Rattus norvegicus: one gene and its partners. The protein of the gene in region 3 interacts with the protein of the main gene of each other region in a pairwise test. Links are inferred from orthologs where the notes say so. Each region holds a gene or a part of one and is shown on either strand. Other genes may lie near its edges. The genes, in order: Plekhb2, Rbm47 and C5h1orf94.

What was found.
Region 1: the proteins of C5h1orf94 (region 3) and Plekhb2 interact in binary tests that used the Homo sapiens proteins (3 or more experiments, as listed by UniProt). The two-hybrid records come from large-scale screens. The link is inferred for Rattus norvegicus from reciprocal best matches to the Homo sapiens genes C1orf94 and PLEKHB2.
Region 2: the proteins of C5h1orf94 (region 3) and Rbm47 interact in binary tests that used the Homo sapiens proteins (3 or more experiments, as listed by UniProt). The two-hybrid records come from large-scale screens. The link is inferred for Rattus norvegicus from reciprocal best matches to the Homo sapiens genes C1orf94 and RBM47.

Annotation. Positions count from the first base shown.
Region 1 is NC_086027.1:44,544,393-44,548,142, forward strand, and holds the start of Plekhb2 (pleckstrin homology domain-containing family B member 2), read left to right. Parts: upstream 1-1,080; 5' UTR 1,081-1,176; intron 1,177-2,184; exon of another isoform or gene 2,185-2,343; intron 2,344-3,750. UniProt on the Homo sapiens protein: Involved in retrograde transport of recycling endosomes.
Region 2 is NC_086032.1:42,514,641-42,518,390, reverse strand, and holds the start of Rbm47 (RNA-binding protein 47), read right to left. Parts: upstream 2,771-3,750; 5' UTR 2,654-2,770; intron 1-2,653. UniProt on the Homo sapiens protein: Single-stranded RNA-binding protein that functions in a variety of RNA processes, including alternative splicing, RNA stabilization, and RNA editing. Functions as an enzyme-substrate adapter for the cytidine deaminase APOBEC1.
Region 3 is NC_086023.1:145,607,359-145,611,046, reverse strand, and holds the start of C5h1orf94 (uncharacterized protein C1orf94 homolog), read left to right. Parts: upstream 1-752; 5' UTR 753-899; coding exon 900-1,213; intron 1,214-3,688.

The DNA of each region.
Region 1 (3,750 bases), on a different chromosome or scaffold from region 3:
GTAGAAGGGCAGATGTGGCAGACACACCAGTCCATCTTAAACCACCACTGGGTATACGTGTATGTTTTCCCTTGAAGTGAAATATTAGCGGAAATCTGCTTACTGTTTCAGGTACAAACATGAGAGGGGCACATGCATAAAGCTATAGGATGCACAACCCACCAATCCAAGATGATCCAAAGCTACTTAACATCCTGTAGATCAGGGTAGAGGGTCTACCTAATTTCTCCCTAGGGGATCTGCTCCTCCCTCTATTTGAACTCATAAAACGATCGCTACAAAAGGTCACGGGGGTCTTGAGTCTTACGCTTGCTCAGGCAATTCCCATTCTGGGGAGTGTATTCCATGCTTTTTCTTTCCAAATAAATGTACACTTGGACGACTTCTATTCTGTGCCTTGTCCAATTCATTGTTTGAGACACTAAGAACTTAGAAAAAAAAATGAGACACACAAGGCACTATAATTAAAAGTTTTTTTTTTTTTTTTAAATTTGAAACAGGAGCTTGTGAAATTCTAGAGTGGTCTTGAGCTCACTGTGTAGCTAAAGATGCCCTACTTCATATCTTCTTACCACATCTCTCAAGTGCTGAGATTACGGTTGTGTACCACCTCGCTATCTGTTTTGTGTTTTTGAGACCATGGCTATGTAGCCCAGGCTGGCCTCAAACTTATCCTCCTGATTCAGCCTCCTCAGTTCTGGGATTATAGTCCTGTACTAACAGCCCGGGCTCCTTCCTCCTCTATTTGTTCTAAGCTATAACATTTCTACGTGAGCTATTGCTAATAGTTCCAGTTTTGTTCCTTGCTTGCCGATTCAGTTTTGACATCTCCATCTTCCTGTTTTTAAGCATGAAGTTCTTCATTTCTGGTTCAGAGATGTCCCCAGGCTCATCTTGTATTGTCCTAGTCCGGCTGTCGTGCACCTCTCTAGGAAGGCCTGTCTTTAAACGCCAAGATCAAGATACTTAAACCACCTTTGAACAGATAACAGCCCAGGTTAAGTTCAACTCCTTGGCTCGGGCTCTGGGCCCGGGCGGCACCTGCCTCGCGCGCATGCGCCTGGGCGCGAGGTGGTGACGCAGGACCTGGACTCGCGCGTCCAGCGGAGAAGCAGGAGAAGCCGGCGACCTTGCACTCTCAGCCTGATCCCTGTCTGGCGGCCAGAACATTCGCAGGTGACTGTGCCCGCGGTGTCCCCCTGCGCCCGCGTGCGACCCCTTCCCAGGACCTCCTCGGTCCGAGTACCCTGTTCGGCCCTGCTCACGCCCCTCCGAGGGTAACCCGCTTCGCCAACGCCCCCTCTCCAAGCCTGGCTCTGAGGAACGCCAGCCTTACTGGCCGCGCCTATTTCCTCAGCCCCTTGTCACCTCTTACTCCGTGACTCCCCCGCCCCCCAGCCCCTATTCCTTCCCGCTTACCTAATGTTCCTCCCCAGCTCTTGCCTTCCTTTTCTAGAGTGCCTCCATTCTGACCCACACCCCTCCCTCGTCCCTAATGTCTGCTGTTCTGATCGTACCGTCCCTCCTCTCCAGCTTCTGCCTCTCTCCCAGTATCCATCCTCATTGTATTACCCCAGCCACTCTCTCTGCCTCCTCCCCACTCCCCCGGTGTCCTAATTCTTAATTGTATCCTACCCCGACCCCCAGCTCATGGCTCTTCTTCCCCAGTGTCCTATCCTGACTGTGTTCTCTTCCTCTTCCCGTGTCCTCCCCCTTCCCAATGTCCCCCATCCTGATTGTATCCCTCCCCTGCCCCCAGCTACTGCGTTCCCCTGTGTCCCCATCCTGATTGTATTCCCCTCCAGCTCCTGATTCCTCCCCTGTCGCTTGTGTCCCACATTCTGGTTGTATTTCCCCCTGCTAGTCTCTGTCTCTTCCCCACTTCCTGATCTATCCGCCTAGCTCTTCATAGTCTTCCTTAGGGTCTAGCCCAGCGTCCCTCCCCTTTTCCCTGGGACCTTGCAGGTATTCCCCAGTGTTCCCCACCATAATCTTATCTTCTTCTGACCCAGTAACCAGTCCTTGTACCCCTACCCTTTCCTCAAGGTCCTTTCTGGGTTCCCTAAGACCCACTTCTTGATGTATCCTCCCCAGCACTGCGCATCCCTTTCCCAGTGTCCCCTGTCCTAATGGTATCTTCCGTAGAGCCGCCTAGTCCTGACTCTCCCTCCTCTTCTCCACCTCCCTCGGGTGAGGTGGTGGGGGCTCTTCTGATGATAGGACCAGTCTGATAGCTCCTGTGACTTCACAGGGGACTGCTACTGCCTTGCTAAGACCCCCGGCTTCCTTCTTCCTGGGCTTGCCCTGCTCTGGTGGGCCTTTCTGTTCCTCTGCACTTTCATGGTCTGTATTATAATGCCTTTTGTTTCGGGTGTTTGATTGTACAAACCCTGACTCCCTTTTGTTACATTTTTATTGTTATGCAATAACAATAGTTAGATGGAGGTCAGGGGTTTCCATGCTGGGTAAGCATAATTTGTTGTGTCCAACTCTCAGGGGCAGAGTGACTTGGGCAGAGAGTTCATGAAGGAGTGGAGTAATTGCCAGTGTTTTAGAAAGTCACGGGTTCTAGACAGACTACGTGGCTCATTCAGAGCACACTGACTAATTCCCCCCCGCCCCCACCCCCATGTGTGTTCATCTGACTAGAATAGGTTGAAGAATCCATGCAGGAAGTGACTTGTCCCTCTTTACAGGAAGTGGCAGGGTGGCAGCTGGGATTTATTGCCTACTTTCTTAGGGCAATGAATGTCACTGAAGGAGTATTGACCAAACATGGCTGTGTGTCCACCAGCCTGTGCTGTGGGCTTGCCTTCAGGAGTGAGCCATGTAGCTAGGATTAACCGTTGCCTCTGGCTCCTTCCTTAGGATGCTTAGACTGTTTTGTGGGCCCAGAAGTTTTGACTTTGGGTGGTCAGCAGGATATAATTAGGACAGATGGCTTGAGACTCTAGCCCGGCAGGTTCTTGCCTGAGTTTATCTGGTGTCCATGGTGTTTATTCTCTGTGCGAGTGATTTTCCACCGATCTTCCTCAGGGCATGAACCAAAACTGGGTTATGGTGTTTTCCTGTCAGACACACAGTAGGTGTTCGGTAAATTAAGAGTGTGAGCACATTATTTTTGTAAGTAAATTTCTGGATAATAAAGACTGAATCTATGAAATCAGTTTCTCTCATTATGTCTGTCTTGTCTGCCTGTCCCAATCCCTTTCTATCTCCTATCTCTCTAGCTGGAACCTGACCCTTTAAGTTGTAGTTTATGCAGAGAGCCAGTGATCTGAGAGGGAGGCGCATTCGCACCTTTGAACACCCTTTTGTAAGTCAGCTGCAGCCAGAGGTGTCACAAGGAAGGGGAAACAGAGGCAGCCTACCATGCCAGCCGCTTAGTCCCTGAGGTCTACGGTGTCTGTCACCTCTCCTTACCATCCACATGGTTGCATTGGTTGCATTGCAGGCTCTCTGTTTAACTTGGTTTGGACACTCTTAAGGATGCTGAGTCCTGCGTGCCTCCCTGTGCCGCCTGGACCAGGGGTTAACTCAGAACCGCAAACCTTGAATAGGGTGTGTGTGCAGATTCCTTTCTGTGACACAGACAACCAGTGTGGCCCTGTGCCCTCTAAATATGGAGTAGATAGGGTGCTGGTATCTGCCTTTCCTGACCTTTTTCATTCCCTGTGGTCAGTAATGAGTCCTATCTATCCGTTGGTCCTGTACTGTAGGGTGGTGGCGTCCTGCTGCTGTGGTGTGTAG
Region 2 (3,750 bases), on a different chromosome or scaffold from region 3:
TTGGCTAGGCAGTAGTTGCTTGGATTGACAACTGACTATGTTAACAGTTCAAGAAAGCAAAACAATATTAAAGAAGTTCATGAAATGTACCCAGTAGAATGGTGCAAGTAAACAGAAAATATCAAGAAATAGGTCATCCGTCAGGGATGGAAATGGGTGGTGGGGTTGAATTGATGTCATTTCTCTTATTCTCTCTGCGTTCACCATGCACATGTGGAGTTAATATTTCAGTTGAGCCCTGATGCATGAATAAAAACAGCCTGGAAGTGAGCTAACTATTCTCAAGCTCACATGGACAGCAAGGTGACTGAATGTGAAGAGACCATCAAGGGAAATGCACTACTCGAACCTCACAAATTATTTTTAGAAAGTATAGGTTATCGAGTGCCATCTAATATCAGAAAATGTGATTCACTTAGTCATTTCTACTTTTCCCCAAATCCCCACTTATGGTAAAGCTAGAATGAGAGTGGCCCACAATGGCCAACAGAGTTTCTCCTTATAAACCAAACCCGGTGTAAAGCAGGGGAGGGGCGGACCTGGTAAACTCTGTCCTGAAGATTATGTTAACAGATTGAGCACTAACTGATCTGGAATTTGGACACTGACTCCCCACGCCGAGTGTTCTGATGTTGAAAGTCTAACTGAATCTTGTTCTGACAGAAAATCCTGTAACTATGGTAGCATAAATGCAGCCCTGCTGTTATCTCAGGCCCGACAGAGAGCGGCCAGCTCACTGTAGACCTTTGGTACTAGGAGGGGCAGCAAACACAGCCAGGAGTTTCTTCCTCCTTCTCACAAGTCTGCCAGGAAAGGGGCTGGAAAGATTTCATATTTTATATTGGAATCATACATAGGCTCTGTCCACAAAAAAACAAAAAAGCAGCACTAGGGAAACTTCTGGAAAAACCCCTGGTACTGTGGGTAGGCTAGCTTAGTTTCTCCGATGTGGCATGAGGAACAATTGACTTTTCTGTGAATGGTGCAGTCATCTACCTAAAACTCCCCACTCCCAACCACAGTGAGCATGTCCTCTCTCGTTCCCTCGGTTTCCAAATAAATATCCTTATAACAGACATGCACACAGATGTGCACAGGCAAGCTTAAAATACTATCAGCTTCTGGTGTTCTTGTGTTGGGATTTCATGAAGCCAAAAGACTAACAGATTTCACTACTGTATGCTAGTTACATGAGCTGTATCTGTTTCCCCAAACTTTCTCTCGACTACCTGTGGGACAAACAACTTTAGTCTGCAAGAAACGATGCAGACGAAGGCTGAACGCATCTGTGGCATCTTATTAACTTCTGCCTGGGCTATGCCTTCACTTAAGATAAAGAACCAATGCCCAGAATCCAGAAACAATCACGGACTCAGCTGTAAAGCAGGCAGCAACTTGATTAACATGGGTGGATGCCTTGAACACACATTTCTTCAAGATACAAGCATCGTTAATCCTTAGGGGCCAGAAAAAAGCCGATATGCCACTTTACCCTTATTATAATGTCGATTGTCAAGACAAGCCCCTATACTGTGGCCAGTTAGGTAGACTCTTTGTACAGTGATGGCAACAGTGTAAAAAATTAGGGTGGAAAACAATCTGCTGATACTTCAGGGAAAAAAAGAAAGAAAGCCTGTAAATACTTTGATTTACCAACTCCTACTGCTGGATGTAAATCTAAAATAAAAGCAGGACTCAGGTGTTCTTGGGCATATTATTCACAGTAGCCAAAACCAGGGAATACCCTGATGTCTGCTGATGGATAAGAATTAACAAAACCTGGTCCATGTCTTACAATGGAATATTATTCAGCCCTACAAATGAACCCTGAAGACGTGCTTTGTGAAGCAAGCTGGTTATGAAAGAAAGGACAAAGGGTCATGCATCGGAAAGTCTGAAGTGACAGCTACTTCTGCTTTAAATAACAAGCAAGAAGGCCAATTTGCAGAAGCTATGGGGACAGCTCCCAAATCAAATACCATCATACCAAATCTTCTGTCTGTCTTGTACAGAGACCCTTCCTTGCGTACCAGGCATTGAAAAATGTCAAAATACTGATGACTACAGGTTGTGGTGGTGCCTACCCATAATCTTAGCATTTGCTGGACGGAGGTGGGAAGATCAAAAGTTCAAAGCTACCTTGGACTACAAGAGACTCTTTCTTAAAAACATAACAATGAGGGGGAGAGGTTGTGGGAGGGGGACAGTGATCAGGATATATTGAATAAAATTTAAAAAACCCAATAGACAAAACAAGAAAGGAAGGAAGGAAGGGAGAAAGAAAGAAAGAAAGAAAGAAAGAAAGAAAGGAAGGAAGGAAGAAAGAAAGACAGACAGACAGACAGACAGACAGGCAGACAGGCAGACTAATGTTGTTTGAGATGTCACAGGTAGACTGTGAGCAGTCCAGGTTACTCCAGTCTCTTTCTACAGGAAGAGATGTGTCCTTTCAAGCCACTCAGATGTGATATGCACAGATAAATAAGGATTTATAGTGCAGTTTCAAAGAAACTCATTGTCCCGTGTAACATTCCACTAATTCACCATGTAAACACCAAGGTATACATCACCTCACAGGTGTCCTGTTGGATAGGAAGGGGAATTATGTTCTTACTTAAATAGGGAAGAAAAGGATTCTAGGAGGTGCACTCACCAAAAGTCAGCAATTTGATTGGTCTTTCTATGGAAGGTAGAACAAGAGAATTCGCGAAGATTCAGGCAGCTCACTTGGGATTTCTCTGTTCAGTTCTTGAAGTATTCTTTGAGGCAAACCCTAAAGCAGTGAAGAAAATGTTAGGAATGTTTTGATTTTCTTCATTTCAACATAAGTTTCACACGGGCCTAGAAATTGAGGATGTTTTCTTCCCAAAATGAACTATCTTTACTCCGATTACTCAAGAAACCATTATTCTTATGTCCTCTAGAAAGCAAGAAACGTAACTCATTATCTTATCCTTGAAGAAATGGGGAAATGAGACAGGAACAGGAGCATTCTCTTTCATTTGGTGTGGTTTGACCTTTAGAGCAGCCATGACTTAGAGATGTGCATACTGCTTAGGAAAATTACAGTTGTAGTCCAGAGACTCACAAAAAGACCTACCTCCTTATATACCGAGATAAAAATATCTAGCTCGAGGTCTCCTACATGGCTTGTGGAGTTATGTTACACATCACTAACAAATCATTACTAGTGCCTGACCTCATCCACAGCCTGTCCCCAAGGCCACAGGGACAAGGCTGAGCAATCCACCTGCAATTAATCAGAGTTGGCTTGAGAGTGACTGCCTCGGCCCTAAAGTCACAGTCAAGATTTCTTGAGGGTTTTTTTTTTTTTTTCAGGGAGAGGATTATGAAAAAATGAAAAGTATCAGTTCAGATCTTAAGTTAGTGTTAGAAATCCTACTAGTATAAAATATTCAAATGAAAGGAATGCAAAATCAAATTAAAATGTTCAAGACACGAACACAGACATGTGAGATATCTGGGGACACACTCTACCCAGTCTTTACAACTATCAACAGACCTGGAGAGCCAAATGGCTTGTGCGTCCAAATTTCTTACATCCACTATGGTGCCATGAGTGCAGCACTAGAGTGTGGGGTGGAAGATTAGATTCCCAACGCCTTCATGACCATGTCCTGGCCTGAGACACAGACATGCTATATACCCCAGAATGGCCTGAAACTGGTAATTCTCCTGCCTCTGCCTCTTAAGTGCTAGGGGTCCCAGGCATGTGCCACCATGTCTTTC
Region 3 (3,688 bases):
GGGACGAACGCCCGGCCCGTGCCCCACCCCCGCGCACCCAGCCGTTGCGCTTGAACCCACTGAAAGAATCCCAGCTCTCGACGGCAGGGGTGTGGGAGCTACTGACACGCAAATCCGCTGACCCCGCCCGGGCCTGCCCTGCCCAATCGGCGGCCTTTTAAGGGTTGGGATCCTCTGCGGTGCGGGTCGCAGCTCTGCGCGGGGGACGCGACAAGTGTCCGCTGAGGACCTGGGCCAGGCCGACTACCGGCACAATACCGCATTGGACATTTCTTTTTTAGGGAGGCAGAGCAGCTGCAGCAGAGAGAGAAGGGGAAGCAGAAGGGGGCGACCGGGAGAGCTAAAGCCAGGACCTGCAGTAGGCGGGTGGGGGGCCCTCTGTGTACGCGGGATCCTTTGGGAAGGTGGGAGGAGACAGTCCCATGGCCGGCACCCACCCAGTCTAGTACAGTGCTCGGCCTTTACCCTGCCCTTCTGGTGACTTGGCAGGAGAGAATGGGCTGAGTCCCAGACCCTGAAAAGTCTCACAGGGGTGTCGTAACGGGGGAGTGCCGGGTCCTGTGGGGAGAGCCAGTCCTCCCCTCTAGTCGTTCCCAGATGTCATTCTGCCCGCCCAGGCGCTTGGTTCCTGAGTTCCGGGGCATTCCACGGTTACTAAGTTACTGGTTTTTGTTGACTTTTAAATATTTTCTTCTACGGGAGAGGGGGAGGGGGGCAAAAGCCAGGAAAGAGCAAATAAAAAGAAGTCAACATAAGCCCCCCCTCCCCAAAAGAAAGTTGCCCTCTACTCCTCATCCTCACCCAAACCGAAGGCCTCTGAAACCCATCCCTTGGCTGGAGCAACAGCCAGCCAGAACTGACTACTTCCCAGGTCCAGTCTTCAGCTCCCTTTCTGGTGAATGAGGGCTGGTGGAGGACAGTCCCTTTGTCTCCCAGCCCTGGGCGGACAAAGGGGCTTCCGAAAAGAGAGAAAGAGGATGGCCAGTGGAAATGGGCTCCCTCCATCCTCAGCCCTGGTGGCCAAGCGTCCCTCCGCCCTGGGGCCATTCCCCAGATATGTCTGGATCCACCAGGACACACCCCAGGATAGCCTAGACAAGATTTGCCATGACATCTGGAAGAGAGTTCAGGGCTTGCCTGAGTCCCTGCAGCCCAGGACCTCTCTGGAGAAGCTCTCTGCCCCGGTGACAGCCGCTGTCAGCTTCCAAGACGAGTGAGTAATCCCCTATTTGGTTGATTATCAAAGGCGGGGGGAATGAAGTCTGACTTTAGGTCGAAATGCTCTGGGCCAGTGTTAAGTCCTACACACATCTCTCCCCCAAGCCTCAACCCTCAACCCCGTTTCTGTAATCTGAAAAATCTTTCGGTTGGAGGAGCTGGCCAAGGTCCTGAAGTCCCAGATGCAAGGAAAGAAGCCATTTCTGGCAGCTTCTTTTCCAGTGACTAAGGAGAAGTTTCTTATTTTAAAGACATAGGTGGCTATGATGTAGATCTGGGGTCCCTGAAGATCTAAGGGTTAGGTGACTCATGACTGTCCCCAGAAGCAACTAGATGATCTTTTCCCCTATCCCAAGAAAAGTCCAGGCATTGGCACAGATGATTCTGGTGGTTGGAAACCACATCTGGAATCCCCTAATACAGAGAGCAGCTGTCCCATTCAGCATCCACAGAGCTACTGCAAGAGCGCACATCAAAATATTTACTGGGAAGGCATTGACATATTCAGAGGACATAATAGAAAATTAAAGTGTGGGAAGATGGCTGTAAATAGCCGGTTTCCCGGATGGGAAATCCCCTGTCGGGGAAGCACAGAGCTAAGTGTTTCAGTGCTAGGGAAAAGTTGAGGGGATAGCGTTGGGGCTGGCTATTGGAAAGAAGAGGAAGGAGCAGAGAGGAAGACAGGGATCTCATTAGGAAAAGGACTGCATCAGCTGTGGTGATTAATGCCACTGCAGAGTACTCTTTCAGGGTTCTGCATCTCCAAAGTGGGCTGCTCGCATTAATTAATCCTCCCGGCATCCCTATGAAACAGGTATTAGTGTCCCCATTTTACAGATGGATTAAGTGTTAATAATTAAGTGCTAATTAAAGCCTAAGTGATAATTAAATGTTGTCTGCCCCCAACACATGCTCCAACTCAGTTCATAGATGCTCCGGAGTGTGTGTGTAGGGGGCGGGGTGCATCCCGGCATTCATCAGCCGCCTCTGGTTTCAGGGCTCTCTAAGCATAGCTGAGGTGAAAAGCAATGTAGTGCTGCAGTCCCTATGCAAGCTCCTTTGCTTGCTGGAGATGAAGGCGGGAGGCATGCTGGCTGCTTCTACCTCCCCTGCCCTGTGCTCAGCAGGACCAGGCTCCGATGCAAACGGCCTTGCTCCATCCAGAATCCTGTGGCGAGTCCGTTCAGTGGCTCTGAGCTCCTTTGCCTCACCCATTGCCATCTGCTCCAGGACAAGCACCTTGGCACGGGGAACCTTGGGGCTGCACTCAGCTCTCTCAGTGGCCAAGTAGCTGATTGTCCACTTTCGGGATCAAAGGTCAGCAGCAATTTCCAGTAGATAGCCCCTTCCCTGCCAGGTCACACTGAATTCGTGGAGACAGACTCTACTTCCAGTCTGCAGTTGGCCGGAAATTGAACCGGCCTACCTTTGGCTCATTACTTCACTCCATTTGGCCTTGATTTCCTCATCTGCAAATTAAGGACGACGTGCCCTGCCTTGTCCACCTCAGAGTCGATAACGAGGGTCCAATGTGATGGGAAACTAAGAAAATGAAAGATGCATTATACAAACAAGGCCGCCTTAATATGTAGCTCGTCGAGTTTGGGGGAGGGGAGGCTTCACAGCTCCATGATCCAAGGAGCCTTCAGACAGCCATCCTGGAGTCAAGTGGGCTCCTACACACACACTCTACACACATACACACACCACACACACACTACCCACACACACTACACACACATACACACTACACACACATACACACTACACACACATACACACTACACACACATACACACTACACACACACTACACACACATACACACACTACACACACACCACACACACACACTTCAGCCTGAGCTCTTCAGGTGTTGGTCCGCTTTACTCACTGGAGTTCTGAGTACAGTTGCGATTGAAGGAGTTCTGAGGCTGAGAGGAGACCTGGGAATCTGCTGACTTAGATGAATAAGCCTCATCCTAACTGTATAGCTGTCCGCCCAGCAGAACACAATGAGCGAGGCAGCGAGCGCCGGAGTTGGATAACCAGGTTCGGCAGTGTGTGTGCCTCTGTAGAACCTGTGACTGCGAGGCTGATCTGAGCTTTGGTTTCCTCACTGCCATGGGGGAGTGACGGTAGGGGTCGCTGGAGGTGACAAATCAGGACTATTCAATGGTCCTGCTGGTAATTAGGATTGATAAACTCGTTCTAAGGACAGCAGTTATAATTTCTGTAAACCCTGCAGTCTTTGCATGAGGCAGTGAAGGTCCAAGTGTGTGTAGATGTAAATTTCCATAATTATCAAACTGTGCTGTTCTGGTTTAAATTGCTCCTCTCCCCCCCCACCCCTTTAAATGAAATCCAATCTCGTTTGTTTGTTTGTTTTCTTGAGACAGGGTCTCACAATGCAGCCCAGACTGTCCTGGAACTCATTAGACATCCCAGGATGAGCTCAAACTCCCAGCCTC